Cricetulus griseus: one gene and its partners. The protein of the gene in region 2 interacts with the protein of the main gene of each other region in a pairwise test. Links are inferred from orthologs where the notes say so. Each region holds a gene or a part of one and is shown on either strand. Other genes may lie near its edges. The genes, in order: Bfsp2, Syce1, Lmna, Cby2, Nme7 and Washc3.

Region 1 (4,216 bases), on a different chromosome or scaffold from region 2:
TTTGGAGCCTATCCTGGCACTCGCTCTGGAGACCAGGCTGGCCTCCCTCCAGAGTGCTGAGATTAAAGGCGTGCACCACCAGCGCCCCTATAGAAGTTTTTGTAAAACTTCTTTTGTAAAAAGAACAACTTTTTTCTCTTCTGTCTGCATAGCACCGTCTGGCACTATGAAAGCTATCATGCCAATTTCATGGCTGAACTTTCTAACCACGATACTGAGATGTTGGTTCCTTCCTGGCACGTGGGTATCATACCGTCCAGTAGATGCTGCTGAGGTTGGAATATCTGGGATGTTCTAGGGGTTAATATGTCATACAATATTTAAGACTCAGATAGTTTTGTGGATTCCCTGAGGGGTGGCTACCTCTTGGACAGGTTGTGAGGCCCTCCCTGGATGTTTGAGAACAGCTGCACCAGCCAGAAAGATGGTATTGCACCCTCCTTCTCTAGGGGAGGGTGAGGGTGCTGAGAACAGTGAGATGAAATGGGGATTCTGTGTATGCCCCAGGCATCAGCCAACAGTACAGTTTGTAACCTCTCAGGCTGCATGCCTGACTCCAGGGAGCAAATGGGACCAGGATTTGGCTGCTTCTGGCTGGGATAAGAGACTGGTTTAGTGTGCAGGGATCCCAAGGCCAGCATTTGGGGAGAAAGGGGAGAGAGAAGTCGGCTACCCACGGAGTGACCAGCTGAGATAAGCAATGCCAATAGGATTCTAGCCCCGAGGACCACAGCTTACAGGCAGAATTGATGGATGAGCTTGGAGCACTGCAGAAATTGTCTCAGAGAACACGACACAGCCCTGACCAGGTGAGGAAAAGGAGCCCTCTGCATCCCTGCCCAGAAAGATGACTGTCTACTGTACACAGTGATCAGAAGGAATAAAATCCAAGTAACACAAAAAATATCAAGTTCTCAGTCTCATAGCCATAGCCCAAGGACTCGGTTGCCACAGAGGGTGTTGCATAGCTATTTTCTGAATTGTAGTCCCTCTGGGAGGAGATGGTTCCTAAGGTCCAGGAAACTTACAGAGCTTAGGAAGTTGTAAGATTCACCACCCCCAATTATATATGTGATAAACCCTTGTTGGGGAAGGGAGACTTGCATAGGGCTGCCTGCAAATTGGGCAGGGAGCTGCTCCAGGGGTGCAGCTTTCATGAGCATCCCCCATGTGCCTTGATTCTTCCTTTGATTCTGTTATTCTCCTGTAATTAACCCCAATAAACTCATTGGTCCCCAAGCTAGACTTTGGTAGAATCTTTGATCTGTTGATGGTGCCCTGTCTGGGGTGAAAGTACTGGCTCATGTCTGTGCAAGAGGAGTCACACAATAGGTGGCCAATACTGTAAAATGTTTCCATCCACCATCCAGAAAGTTCTATTTAAATCTCCACTGTTGGGCTGGCACTTTTATATTGATTTCATGTTGAAATAATTTTTGCTATCTTGATTTAAATAAGATAATATTAATGCCAACTTCATTTGTGTTTACACATACATACACACACACACACACACACACACACACACACACACACACACGCGCGCGCACAGGCACGCATGTAATAGGAAATTGAAAATTACCAGTATGGTCCATATTCACACTGATACCATGTATGTGGGTACAGGAGCACACCTTCACTTAGTCATCATTTAAAAAAACACATCCATTCAGTGGTATTTGGTTCTATGGTGGCCTGAAAACCTTTTAAGTAACTGTGACAGAGGCAGTCCCAGATAATAGGACCAATGCAACTTTGGAGGAAGGAAAATCCAGGTTAGATAGTGACTGCCCCTCTCTGTTACAGTGGTTCTCAACCTTCTAATGCTGTGACCCTTTAATACAGTTCCTCATGTTGTGGTGGCCCCCAGCCATAAAATTATTTCATTGCTACTTCATAACTGTAATTTGGCCACTGATATGAGTTGTAATGTAAATACCTGATATGCAGGATATCTGCAAAGAAACCCCCAAAGGGGTTACCACCTGCAGGTTGAGAACTGCTACTCTATTAGCTTGTGGACTTGGACCGTGTTACACAGGTTTTCTTATTTGAAAGGTGTATGCCGTGCTAGTTTGGTCACAGAGCACTACTGGAATGTTTTGGGGGTGGTGCATGTGCACCTAGAGGGGTCCTGGCCCCTAGTCAGCCCCAGTGAATGGCAGCCAATGTTACCATTAGACCACCAGCAGTTTTGGTACGAAAGGGGTGAGCTCTCCCGGCCTCAGACTACTCACCACTGTTGCTGTAGCCTCCAACACCCCCTCTCAGGACACTAGCAAGCCTTTAGATGAACAGCTGGAGGACTTACCTGCTGGTAGCTGCTGGCCCAGGAGGCCCGGAGGGCATCCCAGCCTCCAGAGCGTTTGGCCTTGCTCTCCAGGTGAGCCCGCAGCTGTGTTTCCAGCTCCTGGCTGACTTGTTCAAGAGCATGCACTTTGGTCATATATTCCACTAGGCAGCTCCCCAGGTCTTCAACAGCAGTGTGATCCCTTTCTGGGCCTGGAGCAGGGACAGTGGTAAGGCCTGAACTCCGTAGACCTTGCAGGAAGACACTGCTGATGCCCAGAGCCCGACGGGTCACTCGGGCACTGAGGCCACCTATGCACCCACTGGGTGCTACTCCTACATAGACCCCAGGTGCACGGATGAGGCTACCCAGTGCACTGGTCCTGGATGCTGGGGGGCTCTCAAGGGAGGATGGAGACCGTGTCCCCCTGAGGGACACCCTGTGCCTCTGCAGGGGCATGCTGGAGTTGGCTCCAGGGGGCAAGTCCGCTGCCACTCTCCTCTCACTCATCATTCTCTCTGCCTCTGTGGTGCCTGGCAGGTTTACAGAGTTCAGTGGCTTTTGGTTGCTAGTCCCAGCATCCCCATGGCCTGGTCACGGGCCTCTCTGGAAGCTCCTCTGTCCCCGTGTTCTTTGTCTACTGCCTTCCATGAGCTTCTGTTGTTCATTGAGCCAGAAGAGAACCACCCCGCCAGCCTGTGAGAGGCACACAGGCGTTCTCTGATGCTGGGTCATGTGCCCAACCAATCCAGACTTTTCTGCTGGGGTGAGGGTGCTGGAGCAGTGCAGGTTGTGGGAACGGATCCTCTAGATTTGTCTTATTTCTTTTTAGACAGGGTGTCTGAGTCTGGCCTTAAAATCTCTATGTAGCCAGGATGAGCTTGAACTTCTGATCTTTTGCCTCTAATCCCTGCAATAGAATCCAGGGTCTCATGCATACTAGGTGAATACTCTGCGACCTCTATATCCCCAGCCCGTGGGTTTGTGTATGTTACTGCCATAGAGAGAGTCGGGCAGGCAATAAGTGGTTCTGTTTCACCGGTAAGGAAACAGGCTTGAGGACCTTGGGTGACAAGTGTACTGATCACTTTATATCTCACAGCACAAGCTGGGACTCATTGTAGTGGCCTCAGGACCGATTGCAGGACTTTCCACACCCCTTGACGTGCTGAGGTAGGGGTGTGCACATGCGTGTTCATGTTGTACATCCACATAGGATCAGAGGATGGATGTGGATGTGAGCCAGCCATGGACAAAGGTGCAGCCCAGGAGACCCAAGGGAAACAAAGCAACCTGCTGCCCTCAGGTCTGGCAGCCGTTCCAGGCCCCTTCCAGCTTCTCTCTCCCCCCCTCATGTCTGCCCTCTGACACAATGCTTGTCAGCTGCTGGCCCTGGCCATGTTTCTCCTCCTCTAGACCTTGCCGTACATCTGCCTGATTGCTAATTCTGACACATCAGATGCTCTGGAGCCAGTTTAGGACCTGAACTTCTGGGAAGCTGTTTGTTAGGCTCTGCTCTTTTCCACCTCTGTGTCTTCCTCTAATAAGACTAGGAAGTTGAAAACAACAAAACAATTTCTGGAAAGCACTCATGGGTGCTACAAGTTAGGGTTGCTGGGCACCTCAGGTTTTAATCGTTGCTTTTGGCATACTCCAAGTCACACTTTCAACGGTCACATCCCAGTCACTTCTTGGGGGCTTAGAATGGTCCCTCCAGCCTGGGAATGTGCTCAGGTTGTAGTGTATTGGAACTAAGCATCCCAGGTCTAGAGATGGACATACTCCTTGACCCTATAATGTGAGGATGGACCTGAGTCAAGAGACGGGAACGGGAGTCACCTTCTGGTAGGTACTGAGTATACTCAAATTCTGAGCACAGTTCCACTCTTTACCTCACTGACTTTTCAATCCAACTTTAGAAGGCAG
Region 2 (4,205 bases):
CAAAAGTTAAAATTTAAGGGGCCAGTGAGATGGTGCCGTGGATAAAGGTACTTGCCACCAAACCTGACAACCTGAGTTTGACCCCTCAAACTCACATGGTAGAAGGAAAAAACTGACTCCCTTAAGCTAACCTCTGACTTACACATTCTTTGAAATGGTATGCGTATGTGAGCATGAACCACTGTGTGCTCACACACACACACACACACACACACACACACACACACACACACACACACACACATTAAATGTTTCTTAAAATTAAAATTTAAGTACAAAAGCATCTACTTGTATTTTATGCATGAGTGCTTTGCTTGCATACATGTAAGCCCATCACATGTGTGCCTGGTGCCTGCAGAGACCAGAAGAGGACGTCAGACCTCCTAGAACTGAACTTACTAATAATTGTGAGACACCTTATGAGTGCTAGGAAACAAACCCACTCCTCTGCAAAAGCAGTTAGTGCTCTTAACTGATGACCTCTCTCTCTACACACACACCCAAATTTACGTTTTAAAGAAAGTTAATGTGAATAAAATAATGTCTTATTTTTGTGAATTGTGGTGCTTGGAGTTGAATCTACATCTGCCTGACTTCAAACCTCAGGGTAAGCCCATTAGCAAAAAAGACACTGGACCTTTCTTCAACTTCTTCACCATTTCCATTAAGCCTTCAATTTTCTGTGTGGTCACATTCTGCCCTGTGGAGACAAAACCAAACTTTCAAATTCAACAGGATAAATTGCCAGATGGATCCAGTACCTAAACTGATACTGAGACGAGCTGAGGACAGATCTCTAACCAGAACAGAGTTACTGATGGTTGTCCCAAAATAGATAATACAAAAAAGTGAGTTGGGCCCCTCCATGGACAGCCTTTTCCTACATGGTGCAATTAGAAACACAAAACTCAAGGTTAGGGCAGTGCTATATTTGGTTCACTTGTGCTGCTGATTGTTATCAAAGCTAGGTCAAGTTCACAAAGACTAGGGTACTAGGTGTGGTGGCATATACCTGTAATCTTGGAACTTAGAGAAAGTGGCAGGAGATCAACAGTTTGTGTCTACCCTAGCCTTTATCACAAGGTAAAACCCACCTTAAGCTACATAAAGATCCTTTCTTAAAACAAGCAAATGGCTAAGGCTGGGATTCAGTGGTAGGGAGCATGCTTTGCATATTCAAAGCCCTGAGTTTAGTCACCACTGGGGGAAGAGGGTGTTGCTAAAATACTGGAAAGTAGTTGAAAAATCACCGTAATGGATTGATAGCATTATCAATTAGGAAGTTCAAGAAAGTCTTACCCAAAATACATTGACTATAAACAAAATGTATTATAGTAAGGGAGCTTGTTAAAACATACATTCAAATAGCTTCTCAATATATAATTGATACTGATTATAAAGCTTCCATATAAAGTAATATTTTGTATTCATTTTGTTTGTCTTGTTTTGTTTTTCAAAACAGGGTTTCTCTGTGTGGCCCTTATGGCTGTCCTGGAACTCCATTTGTAGACCAGGCTGGCCTTGAATTCACAGAGATCCGCTTGCTTCTGCCTCCTGAGTGATGGGATTAAAGGTGTGCACCACTGCTGCCCAGCAATTTTTATAGCCAATATGCACCTATTTTAAATTATCTGGTGAACTGGATGTTAGAAATCACTGTTTGTGGCATTACCAACATAATAAAGGAACCAGACATTATGAGTCACTTAATTTTAAAAATGTCCCCTATTAAGAACTCTTATAAAACTGATGCTAATATTTATTAACTAAGTATTAACTAAGTATTAACTTATTAACTCAAGTTCTAAAAAAAAACAATTAAGGGCTAGAGATCCCCCGTAAACGTGCATGTGGCACCATACAGACTGGGAAACTATATAGAGAATTTTTTTTAACATCAAGGGGAAGGAGGTAGGGGAGAAAGACTCCTCAGGAATGATAAGGGTCTTAAGAGACACATCTATTTAATCTAAAAAAAAAGAAAGAAAGAAAGTGGTCTGTAAATAGGTTTTGATCCAAATAAATGCATTGTATAAAAAAAACTAAAACAATTAGCAATTTTTAAAAAATCAACTGGATATTTGCTAAGATAAAGAAATTGTTGGCACTATTATATAGCTCTAGCGATAGTGTTATTTTCCTCGGGTACCTGTCTCTATATACATACATGGGACATTCAGGGGTTGCACTACTGTCTGTGGTGCTATGTCATCAAACAGGGACCTGAGTGGTGGGAGAAAAGATTGACGAACGAGTCAAAACCGTCCACGCTGGAGCGTAGCCTCACGGCCTAAGCCCATCGCCTCTCTGTTTTACTGAACCAGTACACAGACACTAAATCGTTTGTGCAGAAAGGTTTCGAGAACAGTAGTTTTGTTCAGAGGTGAGCCGCCCACCCACACGCTAGGCGCGCTGGGATGGCGTCAAGTTCTAGACAGCCAAGGGCGACCCCGGCTCCCGTGGGGCCACCTGACTTCAGGCCTGGTGCCACAGGGCCTGGTGCAAGCCTGCTCTGAAGGTGACGGGAGGAGTGTGCCCTGCTACAACCCCACACTAGGCCTGGCCTCACAGGGAGGCGGCCAGCAGGCCCTCAAACGTCACAGGCCTCGTCAGTCAGCGCGCCCACGCCGGGTTCGCGCCCACCGGCCCAGATCGCCTCAGGCCTCGACAGGAGGCCCTCTCACCCCACAGCTCGCCAGGACAACCCAGGCTCCCTTCAGCCACTACCTCCGGCCCCCTCAGGCCTGTGGAGCGGGTCTGCTGAGTCCTTGGGCTCCATGCCCAACGGCTGCGGTCTGGTGGCCACGCTGCTCCACTTCACTCAGCGGCCACAGCAGCCGGGCAGCTGTTGCGCACTGCGCCTGCGCAGTACGCTGCGCGTCCCTCTGGCCTACCACGCGGCCAGCTGCTGCGCATGCGCAGAAGGTTTTTTGTTGTTGTTTTGGTTTTGGTTTTTTGTTGTTGTTGTTGTTGTTGTTGTTTTGCTCCACCACCACCACCACCAAACACTAATCCCATTTGAAGTGAAGACTTCCAAGGCAGTGATTGGTCAGTTTCGGAGGCAAGTGCCTGACCGAGAATGCAGGCCTATCTCTCTACAAGGTTTAAGATTATGGTTGTTAGTGATAGAGTTAGGATTAGCGTTAGAACGTGGAAATTTCCTACTCTTGGACAGAACAGTGGTATTGAGCAGACCCATGATGCCTACTGAAAGAACCTCAAGGGCCTACGGTGGACACGGTAAGCAGCTCAGTTCCCAGTTCCCAAGACACCGTTCGCCACCCCTCCAAAAAAAGCCTGGCGTCTCCCTCTGTGCCGTGCCTAAACCATCTGCCAGGACAGCCCAGGTGTGAACACTTCTGGCTGTGTTCCACACCCACCGGGCAAACTACTCTCACCTTGCTTGTCTGTGGTAGTCTCTGTGACCCAGGCACAGACCTTCTTAGACCAGAATAACCCAACAGTTCTTGTCTGGTAGTTTGCTGGCCCCTGTCCCGGTCTGAGGTATCAAATACCTAGCCTGGAACACACTGGGTTCTCACAGTACATAATGAGGGGAAATCTGGTGAATTCCTCCCCTGAACAGATATTTAGTAAGGCTCCCTGGATCCCACTCAGCAGTCACTCTAGAAGTGAGAATGAATGCCAGGTTCTCAGATTGTTACTGATAACTTGTAGAAGTGCTTTTGGTTGTGAGCCTAGCCTTTAATGGCTGAGCCATCTCTCCAGCCCGTAGAGGTGCTTTTATGTACACTGTGTTAATAAATAACCCAGCATGAGGTGGCCACAGGGAAATAGTATATATTAAGAATTATGTACTCTGTGTTTTGAGAACCAAGACTAAAATGCTCTTATATAATATACATAATAATATATAACATGTATAATACTATATACAATCAATATATGATGCCTGTTGCTATCTTATGAGAGCCATGTATTTTTTTCCTAAGAAATATGAGAACGTGCTGAGTGTGGTGGCGCACACCTTTAATCACAGCACTCAGAGGCAGAGGCAGGCAGATCTTTGAGTTTGAGAGCAGCCTTGTCTACAACACAAGTCCCAGGACAGCTCTGTTTCACAAAGAAACCCTGTTTCGGAACAGAAAAAAAAAAAAAAAAAAAAAAAAAAAAAAACAGGAAGGAAGGAAGAAACGTGAGAATATAATACTTACATGTTTGTGTATTTCAAAGTACAGTAAATA
Region 3 (4,176 bases), on a different chromosome or scaffold from region 2:
GTCTAGCATAGCTCAGCAAAGTAAATACATTATTAGTTTTGCTTTGAAGATGAGAAAAGTGAAGCCCAGAGATCTAAGTGATCTGTGTAACACAGGGCTTCCCAACCCTGGCACCACAGCTATCTCCAGCCAGACGCTTCTCTATCCAAGGAGAGACCATGCAGAGTAAGGTGTTTGCAGCGTCTCACAATATTACTTACTGAATGCCAATAGTATTTCTGTCTCCAGTTAGGACAATCAGAAAACATCTTCAGACATTGCCAAATATCCCCGGGGGAGGACCAAATCACCCCCATCTAAGAATCACTTGTCTAATGTCATATGGCTAGTAGCAAAACTGGACTTTTAATATAGGTTAGTCTAGCTCCAAAGACTGAGATCTTAACATTAGGCTTTGATTCTGGTAGGAGGCATGAGAGGGATTGGAGTCAGGTGGAACCACAGACCACTGCAGAGACAGTGTTGCCCCTCACGGGGTAGGAATGGCTGACTGTGAAAGAAAGAGGTGATGGTGATTTAAAAACCTAAGATGTGGCTTGGGAATCCCTTCAGAGGGAGTTCCTGAGGGCTGTCCTTGACTTATTCTTCCTTTGATTACAGGGTATATATGACCAAACACTGCTGAACTGATGAATCATGTGTGTACAGGTGATAGTTATCACCTCTACAATGGGAGACCTCACCCATTCTTTAAGTGGTTGCATGCAACAGGGGCCCAGCTAAGGGCCATGTGGAGGTAACCTGTTTAATCTTCACTTTGACCTTATGACGTTATTATCTATACTTGGTATGCCAGAAGCCGCAAACTCTTGAAAGGTTGAGAAATTGGCAGGAAAAAGCAGAGTATGTTCCCAAGGGGACTCAGGAGCTGATTGGGGCGGGGGTGGGTGGGGCAAGGATGGTCCTTAAGAGAAGTGGTTGACAACTATTTGTAAAGCCTGCAGACCTCTTATTTAAATGAAGTCTCATCAAAACTCCAATGAGCTGGGCAGTGGTGGTGTAAGCCTTTAATCCCAGCACTAGGGAGGCAGAGGCAGGCAGATCTCTGTGAGTTCGAGACCAGCCTGGTCTACAAGAGCTAGTTCCAGGACAGCCTCCAAAGTCACAGAGAAACCCTGTCTACACCCCCCCCCACGCAAAAAAAAAAAAAAAACCCAAAACTAAAAAAACAGAAACTTCACTAGTTGGCCATTTAGAATCCCTTTCTGATAGTCCCTTATACTCCCTTAAGAGGTCCCCAAACCCTAACCTTATCTTCATAAATGGGTTCCTGCAGCCTGGGATGGTGGTAATTCTGTTATTTGGGCAGAGAAAGCAAAGGGCTAGCAGTTCAAAGTTGTCTTCGGCTACATAGCAAGCAAGTTTACAGCCAGCATAAACTACATGAGACTTAAATGAGACAATCAAGCCGGGCGTTGGTGGTGCACGCCTTTAATCCCAGCACTCGGGAGGCAGAGGCAGGCGGATCTTTGTGAGTTCGAGGCCAGCCTGGTCTCCAGAGTGAGTGCCAGGATAGGCTCCAAAGCTACACAGAGAAACCCTGTCTTGAAAAAAACCAAAAAAAAAAAAAAAAACGAAAGAAAGAAAAAAAAGAAAAAAGAAAAACAATCATTCTTCCTTTCTTTTCTTTTCTTTTTTTTCTGAGACAGGGTTTCTCTGTATGGCCCTGGCTGCCCTGGAACTCACTCCTTGAATACAGAATACACGCTGGCCTTGAACTCACAGAAGTTGGTCTGCACTACCTTCCTGCGTGAGACTCTACCTTAAAAAATAATAATAATAAAATTTTAAAAAGCAAAAAGCAAGGTTGGTGGTGTCACACACCTTTAATCTTGGAAGTAGAGACAAGGGATCTCTGAGTTTGAGGCCAGTCTGGTCTATAGGACAAGTTCCAGGACAGCTAAGGCTACACAGAGAAACCCTGTCTCAAACACACACACACATACACACACACACATATGCTGTGCAGTAGTGGCACATGCCTTTACTCCCAGCACTTGGGAGGCAGAGGCAGGCAGATCGTTGTGAGTTCCAGGACAGCTAGAGCTACATTAAGAAACCCAGTCTCAAAAACAAACAAACAAACAAAAAACCACACAAACAACAACAAAAGTTTGCCTCTGAGGACTAAGGATCAAAAGACATGACCTGGGTGGGCTACACTCTCCAGATTCCCCGGAGACAGGCTCTGCTCCTATACTACACGACCTCAGCAGAGAGAGCCCACCAGCCGGCTGGCACTGCCCTTCCTATGAAATTGGAGCAGCTGATCTCACTGCTCCAGCCAGGAGGGTAGGTGCAGCTGGAAGAGAGGGGCCACTCATACCTCACACCTGGTAGGTCTCTTGATTGGCAACCCTTTCACAATCAAAAATCTGAGGAGCACAAGCAAGTACCATTATCCCCATCTTACAGATAAAAGAATGGGAGGCTTGACCTGGTTAACTGATTTGCTCAAGGCCACATAGCTGACAGGTGACATAAGAAACTCCTAAACACTAGGCGGGAACCCAACCCAACAGCAAACTGTAGTGTGCCCAGGAGCTAGCTCCTACCTAGGAGGCGCTCCATCTCTGCGTTCCAAACCACCTCTCCCTCCCTCCACCTGGGTGCCTCGAGCTCTGAGGACTGTCACAACACTCACCCCTCCATACAATACACACCAGACTAGACCAAACAAAGATCATGCTGGGGGCTGAAGGCCTTCCTCAGCGCCTGCTTTCCACTCTATTCCCAGCCTCCGCAGCACCAGCTGGGGGATGGGGTGGGGGTGCGGGGAATCTGAACGGAAAGGGCAGGCCGGGGGCGGGGCCCATGGCTGCCCGTCCTCCGGCGACTGTGTCGGGGCGGGCATCCCGGCTGCTCCTTGGCGGGCCGCTCCCTGCACAGCCGGCGGCTGCAGTGCAGAAGGCGGGTGACGCACGCTACTGCGTGTGGGCGGCCGCATGTGAGCCTGTGTGTATCTGTGTGTGTGGTTGCTGGGGCCTCCCCGGCCTCCTAAATGGGGGTTTCCTTTCCCTGTTGCCAAGGAAACAAACAGAAGCGCCACAACTGCAGGCTGCCAGCAGGAGAAAAGGGTCGGTTCACCGCAACCCCCAACATTTCCAGGAAGTGAGGTGGCGTGGGGGGGGGGGTGATCCTTGTCTAGGTGACCAAAATGTTTGTGAGGCATGGAACTAGGGTGGACAATTGTTTTGTTCTTCTCAGGACTGGGGGACTTCCTAGGAAAAAGAATGTTCAGTGCTAATCTTGGGATGGCTGGTCAATTTATCTAAAGCACAGAGTTTTGTAGGAGAGGCCCTCTTTAAGAAATACAACCTGACAGGGCATGATTGGCACCTTTAATCCCAGAACTCAGGAGGCAGAGACAGGTGGACTCTTGAGTTCAAGGCCACCTTGGTTTACAGAGTGAGTTTCAGGACAGCCAGAGCTACACAGGGAAAACAAAAAAATAAAATAAAATAAATACAGCCTGGCTGGTCATGGTGGGGGCATGTCCTCTAATACCAGCACTCTCCAGACAGAGGCAGGTGGATCTCTATAAATTCTAGGCCAACCTAAGCTCCACAGTGAGAACCTGTCTCAAAAAAAAAGAAAGGAAGGAAGGAAAGAAGGAAAGACAGACAACCAGAGCATGACAGCGCATCCCAGCAGGTGGGAGGCAGAGGAAGGAAAACCAGGAGAAGGTGCTCAGCCACAAGTCCAGATGAAGTCAGCCTGGATTACACTAGTGAGATCCTATTTTATGTTTTTTGTTTTTAAGGTATGTGTGTTGGGGAGTGACTGGAGAGATGGCTCAGCAGTTAAGAGCACTGGCTGCTCTTGGAGACATCCTGGGATTGATTCCCAGCACCCTAAGATAGCTCATAGCCATCCATAACTCTAGTTCTAGGGAATCTGTTGCCCTCTTCTGACATCCACAAGTATCAGGCACCAAAGTGCAGACAAGCCACTCATACACATAAAATTAATAAGTCTTTTTTAAATGTGAAGAAAAGAAAGACAAGGCTGGGCATTGGTGGCTCACGCCTTTAATCCCAGCACTCGGGAGGCAGAGGCAGGTGGATCTCTTGTGAGTTCGAGGCCAGCCTGGTTTATAGAGTGAGTGCCAGGACAGACTCCAAAGCTACACAGAGAAACCCTGTCTCAAAAAAACAAAAAAGAAAGAAAAGAAAG
Region 4 (4,169 bases), on a different chromosome or scaffold from region 2:
AGAATTATCCTCTTCCTGCTTTTCAACACCAGCTGCTTACTTAAGTGACCTAGAGATGACTGCTGACTAAGCCTGGCTGGCCATGAAAAATCTCCAGACAGCAGTGACCTCTTCCTTCCATATTCTTCTGCCTTCCAAGATCCAGGTCCCACAGCACAGGAAGTAGGCCTGAAAGGACCAGAACAAACCCAAGACTCCTCAAACACCTTTTCTCCTTGACTGCTAAGCTGGCGCTGGGAGCTAGGGACAAAGTCATGCCAGGGGTAGATGGATCTTTCTAATCTTTCTATGGCATGGCAGTAATGAAGGCTTTGTGTCAGCTTGCTAGATTAAGAAACACCCAGGGCATTAGCAAGGCACACATCCTTGATGTGTCTGTGGGGACTTTATGGGGAAGGACTAACAGAGGGGAGGCCCATACTTAATGTGGCTAGTGCTTGAAGGGACCAGCTTCCCTTTTGGCAGCCATAATGACCAAACACGTGCTCTATGACCTTGTCTTAGTCACTAGAAAGTCAGATGCCTGCCTCGTGACAAGGAAACAATCAGAAGTTAGTCACTAGAAAGTCAGATGCCTGCCTCGTGACAAGGAGCCAATCAGAAGTTAGCTGATAGCGCTATGCTTTATGACCCTGGGTGTGCTTTATGGACAAGCGCACAGCAATGACGCACAAAGCATAGCAACCACCCTGGGAGGGCCTATGGGCCATAACAGCCAGTTGACCAATCAACACAGGGCAAACCCTCCAAGCCTGGAGGCACACCAATCCTGAGCCTGTGCATACCCCTAAACACTCCCCTTATGCTGCCCTATAAAGATCTGTATGCAGCAGCTTCAAACTGTCTTTGCTAGCCATCTGCCATGGTGGGTGGGTCAAAGACCCGAGCTAACATGGTGTTAGCTCGTTAAACTACAATAAAGCCTCATGCAATTTGCATCTAGCTTTCGCCTCCATTCTGTGATTGGGGTGGCCGAGGTCCTGGGCTAAGATTCTGGAAGCCTCAGCTTTCCAAGGGTCTTACAGTGCTCATGAACTAGCATCCTGGACTGAGAAAAACATGGATCTGCAGTGATGTGAGGCAGCGGCCCCACCCCATAGCTTCCACTTCACAACAGATTTACCCCTCAACCAAGATCCAAAATAAAGACTTCCTCCCTTAACTTGCTTCTTGCCAGGTATTTGGTCACAACAATGTGAACAGCAAGTAATACACCTACTTTCAAATCTTATTCCCAGCCCCATTCCCACTCCCACATCTGGGCTGGTATCTCCTGTCTGCCCCTAACATGTGGGCTAATAAAGGTACCAAAGGAACCACGGCCACCCTCATGCACAGATGTGTAGTTTATGTGTCAGGGATCAGACCTAGCAAGGTTCCTTGTTCTTCTATAGGATGCCCAGGACATAGTTGCCTAATAATCTGGCTTAGCTATCATGAGCTGAAAGAGATGTAACTGTGGCTGCTTACTACAATGCTGTAAGGAAAAAAAATACCCAGGTGGTTCTCTTGTCCTGTGTTTCTGTCTCCTTCTCACCATATTTGCTGAGCTCATTATAATTACACTAATAGAGAACACCAGCCAGAGATCCATCCTCTTTGTACATACCTCCTGAGACCAAACTTTTAGGGAAATTACCTGTGCCTTGGATCCCTCCATCCTACATTTCTCCTCCACTGGTTGCATGACCCTGGTCTTCCAATGAGCTCTTGGGTAACACTGGAGAAAGCAAGGCCACCCCTTTGTGACATAGCAACAGAAGGAACACTCAAGTAAAAGGGGGTCCCACTGAGAAAGTTGCTGTGTGCAGGAGATCTGGAGACCACAAGCTATAAGTGTTTTAATCATTCACTGGCTTCAAAAGAAACAAGTGAACATTCATCCCCAGTAAACCATCTTTGGCCCATGGCAGGGCTTAATCCTCTTGACCATTGCAAGTGGGCTCCATTCTGGGGTTTCAGCTCCTGTGTTCATTCTTATGCATCTGGATTCAAGGTTGACTCTAGTTCTCTACAGATGTCCTGAGTGGTTATACACTACCATGCAATGAAGGGTCTCCTTTGGGAAGGTTAGACTTTTGTCATAGTATCAACAAATCTTGAAAGGCTAGTGCTGGAGGACCTGACCATCCAACTCAGTCTCCTCATTCAAGGCCAGAGGACCCCAAGGTTCAGAGAATCCATGTGTCCTCCTCAAGACAAATGGGCAGGAAAACAACACCAACATGACAAGAATCTGAGTGGCTGACTTCGCTGTTCATTCTGTAAGGCTTGGAAACAGGGTTATTCTAGCAAGTTACATTCTTCCATGATTGTCCCTACCTGAGGTAGAACCACATTGATTGGAATTTCTAGGCTTTCAGATCTGGTATCTCTCTTTCTTGTAAAAATTGGCCTCGAGTGCTGTGAAAAAGAAAGAATCAGATTTCTCCTTCTCAACCCATCCTCAGGGCCTCAGTGGCTCACCTGAAACACATAACCTCTTTCTACACATTTATGTCCTTCTGACTAATTTTATACCTTATAAAAATCACAGTCTCAAGGCATGTGTACATGGCGCCTGGCCAGAAGTCTTACTGCTCAGTGATCAGGAACTGATCGACACTGATCACTGAACAAAAAACCAAGACAGGAATGAACTGATATGAAGCCCTCTTACAAGAAGAAATCATTGCAGCTCTTCCTGGTTTTACACTACGATTTCTATATAAGTAAAAAGCCATACCAATGTGAGGTGCCAGGTATAGGTCCTATGCATAAGCTGGTCACCAAAACACTCAGAACATTCCAGAGGTGACATCACAGAACAATATGGTGTTTTTCTGAGCTCATGGTTTCTCTCCGGGCATCTCAGGTGGGAACGAGGCTTCTGCAGGAAGGAAGAATTGCTGCTGGCTGTGCTCAGGTGGCCAGCCCGGGTCAGTGTGACACACAATAGCCCTTGTTTGGTCAGCTGGCTGCCACTCACACCTCACTGCCAGGCTGGCTTGAACCTCTCTACCTCCCATCAGAGGTGGCATCTGTTTCAATCACATTAATTAGGAAAAGAGAAACATTAACTGTCTAGACCTGGAGAGACTTGGCACTACTGAGGAACTCCAGTCCAGTTCCACTCTGATAATAGCTACATGTCAGGTTCCGAGAAGTTAGGGGCTCGGCCCTAAAAGATGATCTTTTACTTCAAGTACCAATCCCATATCAGGGCCACCTGTACTTGTAACTGGTTAGCCATGCAGGGGTTACCCTAAGCTGCTCCTCAGGTTCAATAGCTGTCTCTCAGAACACAGGAGAGTAATTTACTTAGGATCACAACTTTAAGAAGCATGCAGCTCAGGAGGGGCCAAATGGTAATGATAAAGGGTGAGCTGTTTGACAGGGTAGTGTCGTAAACCTTCTGGCCTTCTCTGGACACACCTGCCTCCCAGCATCTTCAATGTCTGAACCCAGTTGTTTAGAGGTATTTGTGGAGTTCCATTATGTAGGCAAATTTTATCAAATCATTAGCCTTTGATCACTTAACTAAATGTCAAATCCTTCCAGAGGTAGACGTTTGCTGAAAATTCCAACCTTCTAATCACCTGATTGGTTCCTCTGACAATCACCCCCCACCCCCAAAGTCATTCCCCTAGCATAAACTGATGTGTTTCAAAGGAGGTCCTGTCAGGAAATCCCAAGGGTTTAAGAAACACTGTTCTGATAGAAAAATACAACCAAACATATCACATGTAGAACCTGCATTAAGGCCAGAACACTCATCCCTCCATCCTTAGCTCTGTCAAATCTGTCACCTCCAGATCCATTTAAGAGCCCCAGTTCTGTGTGATTTTGCCCCTTGGGGTAGGAAGAGAGTAGGTTTCCGGGGTTTCCTCAATGAAACCCATGTTCCTGGGGTCTGGATCAGTCCCATGCTGGTAACCCAGCTATCAGTCTGGGGAGCAAGAGTTCCCCCATGTTCAGATCAGTTGTTTCTGTGGGTTTCCAGCCTGGTCTGGACCCCTTTGCTCTTCACTCGTCCTTTTCTGCATCTGGATTCCAGTTCAGTTCAATGATTAGTTGTGGGTGTCTGCTTCTACTTCCACCAGCTGCTGGATGAAGGCTATAGGATGGCATATAAGTCAGTCATCAATCTCATTATCACGGGAGAGCATTTAAGGTAGCCTCTCCTCTGT
Region 5 (4,079 bases), on a different chromosome or scaffold from region 2:
GTGAAATGATGACATCAGGATTTTGTCTGGTAGCTCCTGGGTGGTTGACCTCACGTTCAGGTTAATCAAGAGTAGGAAATTCTTTCTTTCCCCTTTACTTCACAAAAAGTTGCTCACAGAGTATCAATATCTCCACTATGCTGGAGGCATTGAACATTTGAAGTAAAATCTTTTTAAGTTCTTTAAAAGCTTGGAACAATCTGGAAAACCTGCTGAGTCTACTTGTCTTTGAAAACCCTAGGCCTAATACTTTCCCTGTTATACTACTCCTCTGGCTTTTTTCTAATCAGAATAGAAACACAACTCCTAACGGACAAAAAGAGGAGTAGCAGTAATATTTCTGAATGAATTCATAAAAGAGGATGGATTTGATTAGGCCATCAATGGTTTAGGCCCCTTTCTAAGTTCTCGCAGAAGACCTTTAATTAGCTACAGAGAGTTACTTATTACCTCAGAAACGCTTACTTAGTCACTAAGAAATGGACAATGTGCAGATCAAAGACAAGGAGCTGGGGTCAAAGTGCAGAGAGCAAAGGCCAATGAGTAGATAGTTTCACCTTCCTCCTCGGGTTTTCAGAGCTAAGTAGATGAGGAGCCTGGACAGCTGTGGCGGTGACTAGCGTGAATGATGCATCAGATGTGTTGGGCTAAGAGACACAAATGCATCCAATCAGAAAGAACACTTTCTCCCTTGCTTGAGACCTGATCAAAGTCAGCCACCTGCACCTGTGCTACTTTTAATACCTCCCCCCTTGTCAGTTCTTTTTGATCATAATAAACTCTGACAATGCTATGGTTCTTCGCTTCCAGGCTTTTCAGAAATGAAATCAGCGGGGGACCTTTTTATTTGCTGGTTTTAAATGATGTTTAACTCTGAGAGGTTAATGTTTCAGTCACACACTTCTTTAGAGGACATATCTGCATGGCACAGTGCTCCTGTTGTAGATCTAGATCTAGATGAGCCAGTCTTCTAACTTGTTTCCAGTTTATGATGGGGTGCCTTCCTGATCTTTAATAACTGTCATTTAGCTACAGAATACTTATCTTAAGCCTATAACAAATATTTTCATGTTCTATAAGAAGGGCAAATTTAAGAGTCAGAAGGCAAACTAGCTTCTCTGGACCCTGTTATCAAAAGGAAGAGCTGCATCTTGATGACAGGCCACAGCTAATGGAGAAATGGTTGCTGGCATTACCCTGGATTTCAAGGACCTTTGTTTACCTTCTAATCTACCATGGTAAAATCTCAGGAAAATGTCATACTCATTTAAATTGAAGTATCAGCATTACTGAAGACATCAAAGTAAAAATAAAGGCAAGTTATGCTAGGGAGATGGCCCAGCAGTCACGAGTGCATACTGCTCTTCCAGGCCACTCAACTTTGATTCCCAGCACCCATGTCAGGTGGCTCACAACTGCCTATGACTCCAGCTTCAGGGGACCCAATACCTCTGACCTCTGTGGGTAACTACACACATGGCTTGCATGCGCTCCCACGCATGTGTGCACACACATTTTTAAATAAATAAAATTTAGAAAAAATAAAGACAAGCATTACTTATTTTGAATGGAACAGCATCTGGATTCTGCTTATAGGACACAGCAAGTAGAGATGTTTGCTTGTCTAGACAGAACTGCTTTCTGGTCCCTTCCTATCAGCTCAGCTACCTTGCACCTCTCAAACCTCAGCTGCTAAAGTAAATGATCCATGAGTTTCACTTGCTGCCAAGTGACAGGCAACAGAGTTTATATGGTAAGAAGAGAGGTTGGGAAAGAAAAAAAAAAGAGGGTCTGGAGAGCTTGCTCAATGACTAAGAGCACTGGCTGCTCTTTCAGAGGACCTGGGACCAATTCCCAGCACCTACATGGCAGCTCACAACCATGTATAACTCCAGTTCCAGGGATCTAGTGCCCTCTTCTGGCCTCTGTAGGGACTAGGCATGAATGTGGTGCACGGATACATATGCAAACAAAACACAAACACACATAAAATAAAATGAAATGAAATACAAAAAAAGGAAGGAAGGAATGGAGGAAGGAAAACCAAAGGAACAAGTATAGGTCTAGTTGGGAGGTGGTGGCACTCACCTTTAATCCCAGCACTCAGGAGGCAGAGGCAGGTGGGTCTCTGTGAGTTCAAGGCCATCCTGGTCTATAAACTGAGTTCCAGGATAGCATCCAGAGCTACAGAGAAACCCTGTCTTGGAAAAAAAAAAAAAAAAAAAAAGAAAACCAAAATAGCTAGGTCTAGCATAGAGACTGGATTTCTTGCAAGGGAACAGGCTTGTGTTTCAAACACCAAATGCAACTCTCTCTCTCTCTCTCTGAAGTTTCTTTTTCTCATTTCTTCTTAAAAGGACAGTGTTTGAACCAGATTTTTGTGTGTTTTCTATGTGGTGAAAGCAGAGTGAGTTGTACCTTATAGTGAAATTACACTTGAAGTCTTACCTCAGCTGGGGTATAATTTGTAAAAAGCAGCTAAAAACCCTGACACCTATCAGGTGTTCCATGAAAGTCACAACCATTCCTCTTTGTCCCTGGGTAGAGGCTGAGGAGGAGGGAACATCTGAGCATGTGCAGATGGCTAGAGGAGACCCACCCCACTCAGGCTGCGGTAGAGGACTCAGAGCAGGTGAATGAACCAGCTGTTCATTTGTTGATGCTCCAGGGTGATAGATGTGGCAAGAGAGGAATAAAAGGGTGAAGAAAACTGAGCACCCAAAGGACACAGAAGCCATAGACCAGGACTCTGCAGAGGCTCTTGGTCCCAAGGCCCACCCCTCTGTGCTGGGTGGATCTTAGCACTGGACAGATGCCTTGGCTACATGTAGAGAGAAGGGAAACAGAAGACAGGCAGGTCTCCAAGACTAGGACATAAACTTGGGGGGCTGGGAAGTGTTCATGGAGTGGGCCCCATCAGCCCTGTCCTTTTAAGCATCTTCTTTTCCATCCACTTTCAGAAGTCTCTCGTCATGACTTAGCTGCTGACTTGGCTTGACACTGAAGCATTAGATGCCTGGAGTCCTACCATAGAGTTCATTCTACCTTCTCTCCAGACACACACACACACACACACACACACACACACACACACACACACACACACGTACGTCGCCTCTTCTGTTGCCCAGGTCTTTCATATTCAGTCTCTCTCTTACCATCTCTATTTTTAATTTTTCATGTATTTTACAATGAGGAAGGGAACTATCTAACAAGATCAATTTTAAATGGCACCTTTTATGAGACGTTATAAACTGGTATATATACACACACCAGATGTGTATATATATATTTCACACACATTATACACACATATATACACACACAGTAGTTATACACACACATACACACACACACACACACACACACACACTGGTAAAGTGTAATATATGTTCCCTTTATTTAGGATATTTAAATTTAAAGAATGGAGCTTTTCTTAAAAATATATTATAGCCATTTTTAATTCTAATACATTTATTTTTCAATGATCAAAGTAGATTTTAAAAAGATTTTGTTTTCATTTTTAAGTGTGTGTGTGTGTGTGTGTGTGTGTGTGTGTGTGTGTGTGTGTGTGTGTGTGCTGGATGTGTGGCTGTGAGTGCAGGTGCCTATGGGGAGCAGAGGTGTCACTGGAGCAGGAGTTACAGACAGTCGTGAGCTGGGACTCAAACTTGGGTCCCCTGCAGGAGCAGCATGGGCTGAACCGTCTCTCCAGTCCCTGATTTAATCTGCTCATATTGGTTTAACACAAACATTTGTGCCTGATTCTGTCCTCTGAAATAAGTATTATGATTATTATCCTAGTCTTATAATGAAGGATCGAGGTACAAGAGTTTAAACAACTTTCTTAAATATCAAGCAAGTTGCAATTCTGGAGTTTAAACCCAGATACAGTCTGAGTCATGATGCACTCTATGTACTTAAAATATTAGCCACAGAGCTATCCCTTAATGTATTGTCATTACTTTTTTGAGTACAGTGTATTGAATATCTAGCCACTGGAGATTGAATAACTAACATAAAATACAAGCCAATGTTCGCACAGAGCAAAGGCTGTGGAAGAATGGTATTCATGTAGA
Region 6 (4,295 bases), on a different chromosome or scaffold from region 2:
TATTTGAATTAGAAACAAGATTGTTTTACATGGCAATCCCAGTTCCCTTCTCCCTCTCATTCTCCCCTTCTACCCCCCCCAACTAAAACTCTACCTATCACATATCTTTTTTGCTCCCCCTGGATGGTGATGCCTTCCATAGGGTGTCGTCAGAGTCTATCATACCCTTTGGGATAGGGCCTAAACCCACCCCTGTGTGTCTTGGCTCAGGGAGTATTCCTCTATGTGGAATGGGCTCCCAAAGTCCACACCTATGCTAGCGATAAGTACTGAACTACTACAGCAGGTCCCGTAGATTTCCGAGGTTTCTTCACTGAAACCCATGTTCCTGGGGTCTGGAGCAGTCCCATGCTGGTATCCTAGCTATCAGTCTGGGGACCAAGAGTTCCCTGATGTTCAGGTCAGCTGTTTCTGTGAGTTTCACCATCCTGGTCTGGACCCCTTTGCTCTTCACTTGTCCTTCTCTGCGTCTGGATTCCAGTTCAGTTTAGTGGTTAGTTGTTCTACCAGTGCTTCTATTTAGAGAAGCAACGGTATAAGAGAGACCAGATTGAAAACATGGCTTGGCAGCTGAGAACACTCATACTTGCAAAGGAACCAGAATTGACGGCCAGCATCCACATGGTGGCTCATAACTGTCCATAGCAACAGTTCTAGGGGATCTCATGCCCTCTTCTGACCCATGTAGGCATCAGACATGCATGTAGTGGACAGACAAACATGTGAGACCCTCACACACATAAAATAAAAGTAAATCTTAAATTTCTGAAAAGACCAAAACAAATGAGAGAGAGAGAGAGAGAGAGAGAGAGAGAGAGAGAGAGAGAGAGAGACTCCTCACTATATCATTAGTGATTACATTTGGAGGAAACGCTAAAGACATTGTGATGAAGAAATAAAAACAACAGTTGGGACTATCAATGTTACTCAGAGGCAGAGTGCATGCCTACCCCATTCAAGACCTTACTCAGAATCCACAACTTTATAAACAGCTCGAATTTTACACAAATGACAAGTCTCCTATCTGCAAGCAATCCTGATTAACAGTTACATATCTAACTTTGTTAAGGGTTTGCCTTGTATAAGACAATATAAGATAACATTGCATTGATTCAGCTGGGACTAATCTAGAAATCTCTTCTATTTCCTTTCTTAAATTCAGTTTCAATATATATTCTCCATTTTCCTCCTCATCCAAAAAAAAAAAAAAAAAAAAAAAAAAAAAAAAACCCAAACCAAACCAAATAAAAACCTTTCTCAAAGATCAGGCGGGGGTCCTGAACCTGGCACCTAATTCTTAATTATGTGTTTAATTTTTACTGCACAGGTTATCCAGACATTTGCAGAAGGGTATTTTTTTTTTAAAAAAATGTATTTCTAGGCTTCCTCCCTGAACCACTTTGGCTCAAAGAATGCAAAGTAATTTAATATAAACACAAACATATACTTAAAATATAAAACTCTGGAGTAGGAAAATGAAAAACTTTAAAATAAAAAATTCAACTGTGAAATTATTTGTGTGTGTTTCTCATAATTATAAAAAACTTTATTGAGCTCACAGAAACGCCTAGAATATGAATTCAGTTGAGGGATACAGGACTGATGGTAACAGAATAGAAGAGACGCCAAGGTGTCTTAACACAATTGGAGAAGGTCTTGGCAATGTGAATAAATGAAAGCTGTAATTTTTGCTTCGCTCTGTTAACCTGAAAGGTGGAAGATGACTTCTCAACTACTCCATAAACTAGTAGTAGCACAGGACCTGGACCTACCTCCTCACAAACTGTGGAAAACCGGTTGAGAAACTGCACCGTGTGCACCACAAACTGGTTTAGAAAGGCCACGGTCCTTTTCTGTTGAATAGCTGGCACCTGTGTTACATAAAAACAAGCAAATATGATTCTTACAGGAGAGACATACACTGTGCAATCCTCTCGATATCTGTTTCGTAAAGACTATGATTTTGCCCTGTGACATGAATTTCATGGAGGGCTGAGAACAGTCCCTGACTTGTTTTCCTGAACCGTGTGTGTGTCAAAGTGACAGGGGCTGCAAAAGTTTGAGAGTGTGCTACACACACACACACACACACACACACACACACACACACACACACACACACACAAGGGAGGGAGCAAGGGAGGAGGAGAGAGGAGAGAGGGAGAGAGGAGAGAGACAGAGAGGGAGAGGAGGAGGGGGAGACGGAGGGAGGGAGAGAGAGAGAGAGAGAGAGAGAGAGAGAGAGAGAGAGAGAGAGAGAGAGAGAGGAGGGAGAGAGGGAGGGAGGAGGGAGGAGGGCAGAGAGAGAGAGAGAGAGAGAGAGAGAGAGAGAGAGAGAGAGAGAGAGAGATTGAGGATCAGAGAGGTAGTGTTAGAAGTGGCACTATTTCCAGACTGTCAGCCTTGGCTCAGAGTCACATGATGTGGGGAGCGAAGGCTGCGAGGCACATCAACTCTTTAATTAGCTCAGGAGGGAACCCTTCGAAAGTGGACTGCGGGGCTCCCCCTTCCCTAGGCTAGCAAAAAGGGGCCCGGGTTGGGCCTGGAGAGGTGGTGTCTCCCGGGGAACCGGGGCCCCTTGGCCAAGCTACTTCCCTGTTCGCCGGAAGCTTAAGTCATCTTTTACAAACCTTGGTCAGGTCTATGCCTGACCCCATAAGAGGAAGCCCATCCTCATCCATCTCCACAGCAGATGGGGACACCGGGGCTCAGGCACAAGCCCCTCACAGCCCGGTAGAAAACCCCGACTCCCCTTCCCAAGTTCCTGCCTCCGGGGCCTTTCCGGAAGAAAGATCCCGAGCCCACCAATCAATCAGTGGCTTCAGAGAGTCCGCCCCTTCACTCTCGCTCAGCATTCTGGGATTGGTAGTTCAAGGAGCTGATTGTAAAGCGGGCCTGAGAATCACTGCTGAAGAGCTGATGCTATTTTAGGGGTGGGGGGGACCTCTGCCTCCAAAGAATAGTGAAGACATGCAGAATCTTGATGTGCAAAATTTAGGTGAAAGTTGTGGCACTGTAAATTAACATATACAAACCCTTGTGTCTCCATGGGTACATGCACCCACATGGACTCAAAGCACTGTGGTGCTGTAGACGATAGGCGCTTCTAAGTTGTCCAAGCAAAGAAGAGGAAACCAGCTTTAGTAGCTACTTAACTTTAAGAAGAGCTAAGATGACAATCTGACCGGGCTGTGGTGGCGCATGCCTTTAATACCAACACTCTGGAGGCAGAAGCAGGTGGAGCTCTGTGAGTTTGAGGCCAGCCTGGTCTACTGACTGAGCTCCAAGACAGCCTCCAAAGCTACAGAGAAACCCTGTTTTGAAATTCACCCCCATCCCCACCCCCAAATGACAATCTGGAGCCAGGCACTGGTGGTGCACGCCTTTAGTTCCAGCACTCGGGAGGCTCTGTGAGTTCGAAGCCAGCCTGGTCTACAGCGCAAGTTCCAGGACAGGCTCCAAAGCTACAGAGAAACCCTTATCTCAAAAAACAAACAAAACACCAACAGCAACAAAACACGACAATCTGGAATGAGGAGTATAGTATGGAGGGCAAAGGGAAAGCTGTTTGGTGGTATTAGCAGAGATAGGGAATAATGAGAAATAAGACGGAAATAGACACAAAGAGCTGATGAAGGACCTTTTATACCAGAATAAGAGCCATGTTTTTCTAAATGGGATTCATGGGCCGCTGGTTGGGAATGCTTCTTAAAAGGCCTGCTCCATAGGAAGACTTGGTGGACTTTGCAGAGCCCCCGTTGAGGGCCCTACCCTGCCTGGGGAGTGGTGGGTGGATGGGGGTGGGGGGTGGGCTGGGGGAGGAGGTTTGGGGGTGGGGGAGGGAGAGGGAGAAGGGACTTGAAATAAGCTTCTTCCCTAACTAGAACTAATAAAACAAAAACAAAAACAAAAACAAAAACAAAAAAAAAACAAAAAGGCCTGCTCCAGAGATTAACCTCAGACAAACCAAATCAGGATCCCTTTTAGGTATAATTTTGATTCCTGCATTTTCAACACCACTCCCTGGAATTATTGTGAATTGTGGTCTTCAGCACAATAATTTGCATTTCCATGGTGGCTAAGGATGGTGAACATTTAAAAATGTTTGTCAGCCATTTGTATTTCATCTTTTGTGAATTATTTAGTTTAGCTCCATGCCCCATTTATTGAATTTCTTGAAGTAAGCCAGCAATTAATATGAGGAATTGATTAACTACTATTCTCATGAAAGATTTGATCTGCACGTGATGCTGTATGACAGTATTTTATTCATATTAGTGACAATCAGGGGCAGT

What was found.
Region 1: the proteins of Syce1 (region 2) and Bfsp2 interact in binary tests that used the Homo sapiens proteins (3 or more experiments, as listed by UniProt). The two-hybrid records come from large-scale screens. The link is inferred for Cricetulus griseus from reciprocal best matches to the Homo sapiens genes SYCE1 and BFSP2.
Region 3: the proteins of Syce1 (region 2) and Lmna interact in binary tests that used the Homo sapiens proteins (3 or more experiments, as listed by UniProt). The link is inferred for Cricetulus griseus from reciprocal best matches to the Homo sapiens genes SYCE1 and LMNA.
Region 4: the proteins of Syce1 (region 2) and Cby2 interact in binary tests that used the Homo sapiens proteins (3 or more experiments, as listed by UniProt). The two-hybrid records come from large-scale screens. The link is inferred for Cricetulus griseus from reciprocal best matches to the Homo sapiens genes SYCE1 and CBY2.
Region 5: the proteins of Syce1 (region 2) and Nme7 interact in binary tests that used the Homo sapiens proteins (3 or more experiments, as listed by UniProt). The two-hybrid records come from large-scale screens. The link is inferred for Cricetulus griseus from reciprocal best matches to the Homo sapiens genes SYCE1 and NME7.
Region 6: the proteins of Syce1 (region 2) and Washc3 interact in binary tests that used the Homo sapiens proteins (3 or more experiments, as listed by UniProt). The two-hybrid records come from large-scale screens. The link is inferred for Cricetulus griseus from reciprocal best matches to the Homo sapiens genes SYCE1 and WASHC3.

Annotation. Positions count from the first base shown.
Region 1 is NC_048597.1:211,725,067-211,729,282, forward strand, and holds the start of Bfsp2 (phakinin), read right to left. Parts: upstream 2,801-4,216; coding exon 2,312-2,800; intron 1-2,311.
Region 2 is NC_048596.1:60,417,889-60,422,093, reverse strand, and holds the start of Syce1 (synaptonemal complex central element protein 1), read right to left. Parts: upstream 2,801-4,205; 5' UTR 2,780-2,800; coding exon 2,728-2,779; intron 701-2,727; coding exon 638-700; intron 1-637. UniProt on the Homo sapiens protein: Major component of the transverse central element of synaptonemal complexes (SCS), formed between homologous chromosomes during meiotic prophase. Requires SYCP1 in order to be incorporated into the central element.
Region 3 is NW_023276806.1:66,000,379-66,004,554, reverse strand, and holds the start of Lmna (lamin), read right to left. Parts: upstream 2,801-4,176; 5' UTR 2,688-2,800; coding exon 2,664-2,687; intron 1-2,663.
Region 4 is NW_023276807.1:229,960,913-229,965,081, forward strand, and holds the start of Cby2 (protein chibby homolog 2), read right to left. Parts: upstream 2,801-4,169; coding exon 2,726-2,800; intron 2,404-2,725; coding exon 2,323-2,403; intron 1,688-2,322; coding exon of another isoform or gene 1,640-1,687; intron 1-1,639.
Region 5 is NC_048598.1:27,937,095-27,941,173, forward strand, and holds the end of Nme7 (nucleoside diphosphate kinase 7), read right to left. Parts: intron 648-4,079; coding exon 516-647; 3' UTR 501-515; downstream 1-500. UniProt on the Homo sapiens protein: Possesses an intrinsic kinase activity. Displays 3'-5' exonuclease activity with a preference for single-stranded DNA. Does not seem to have nucleoside diphosphate kinase activity.
Region 6 is NW_023276806.1:154,206,829-154,211,123, reverse strand, and holds the start of Washc3 (WASH complex subunit 3), read right to left. Parts: upstream 2,801-4,295; 5' UTR 2,682-2,800; coding exon 2,631-2,681; intron 1,872-2,630; coding exon 1,773-1,871; intron 1-1,772. UniProt on the Homo sapiens protein: Acts as a component of the WASH core complex that functions as a nucleation-promoting factor (NPF) at the surface of endosomes, where it recruits and activates the Arp2/3 complex to induce actin polymerization, playing a key role in the fission of tubules that serve as transport intermediates during endosome sorting.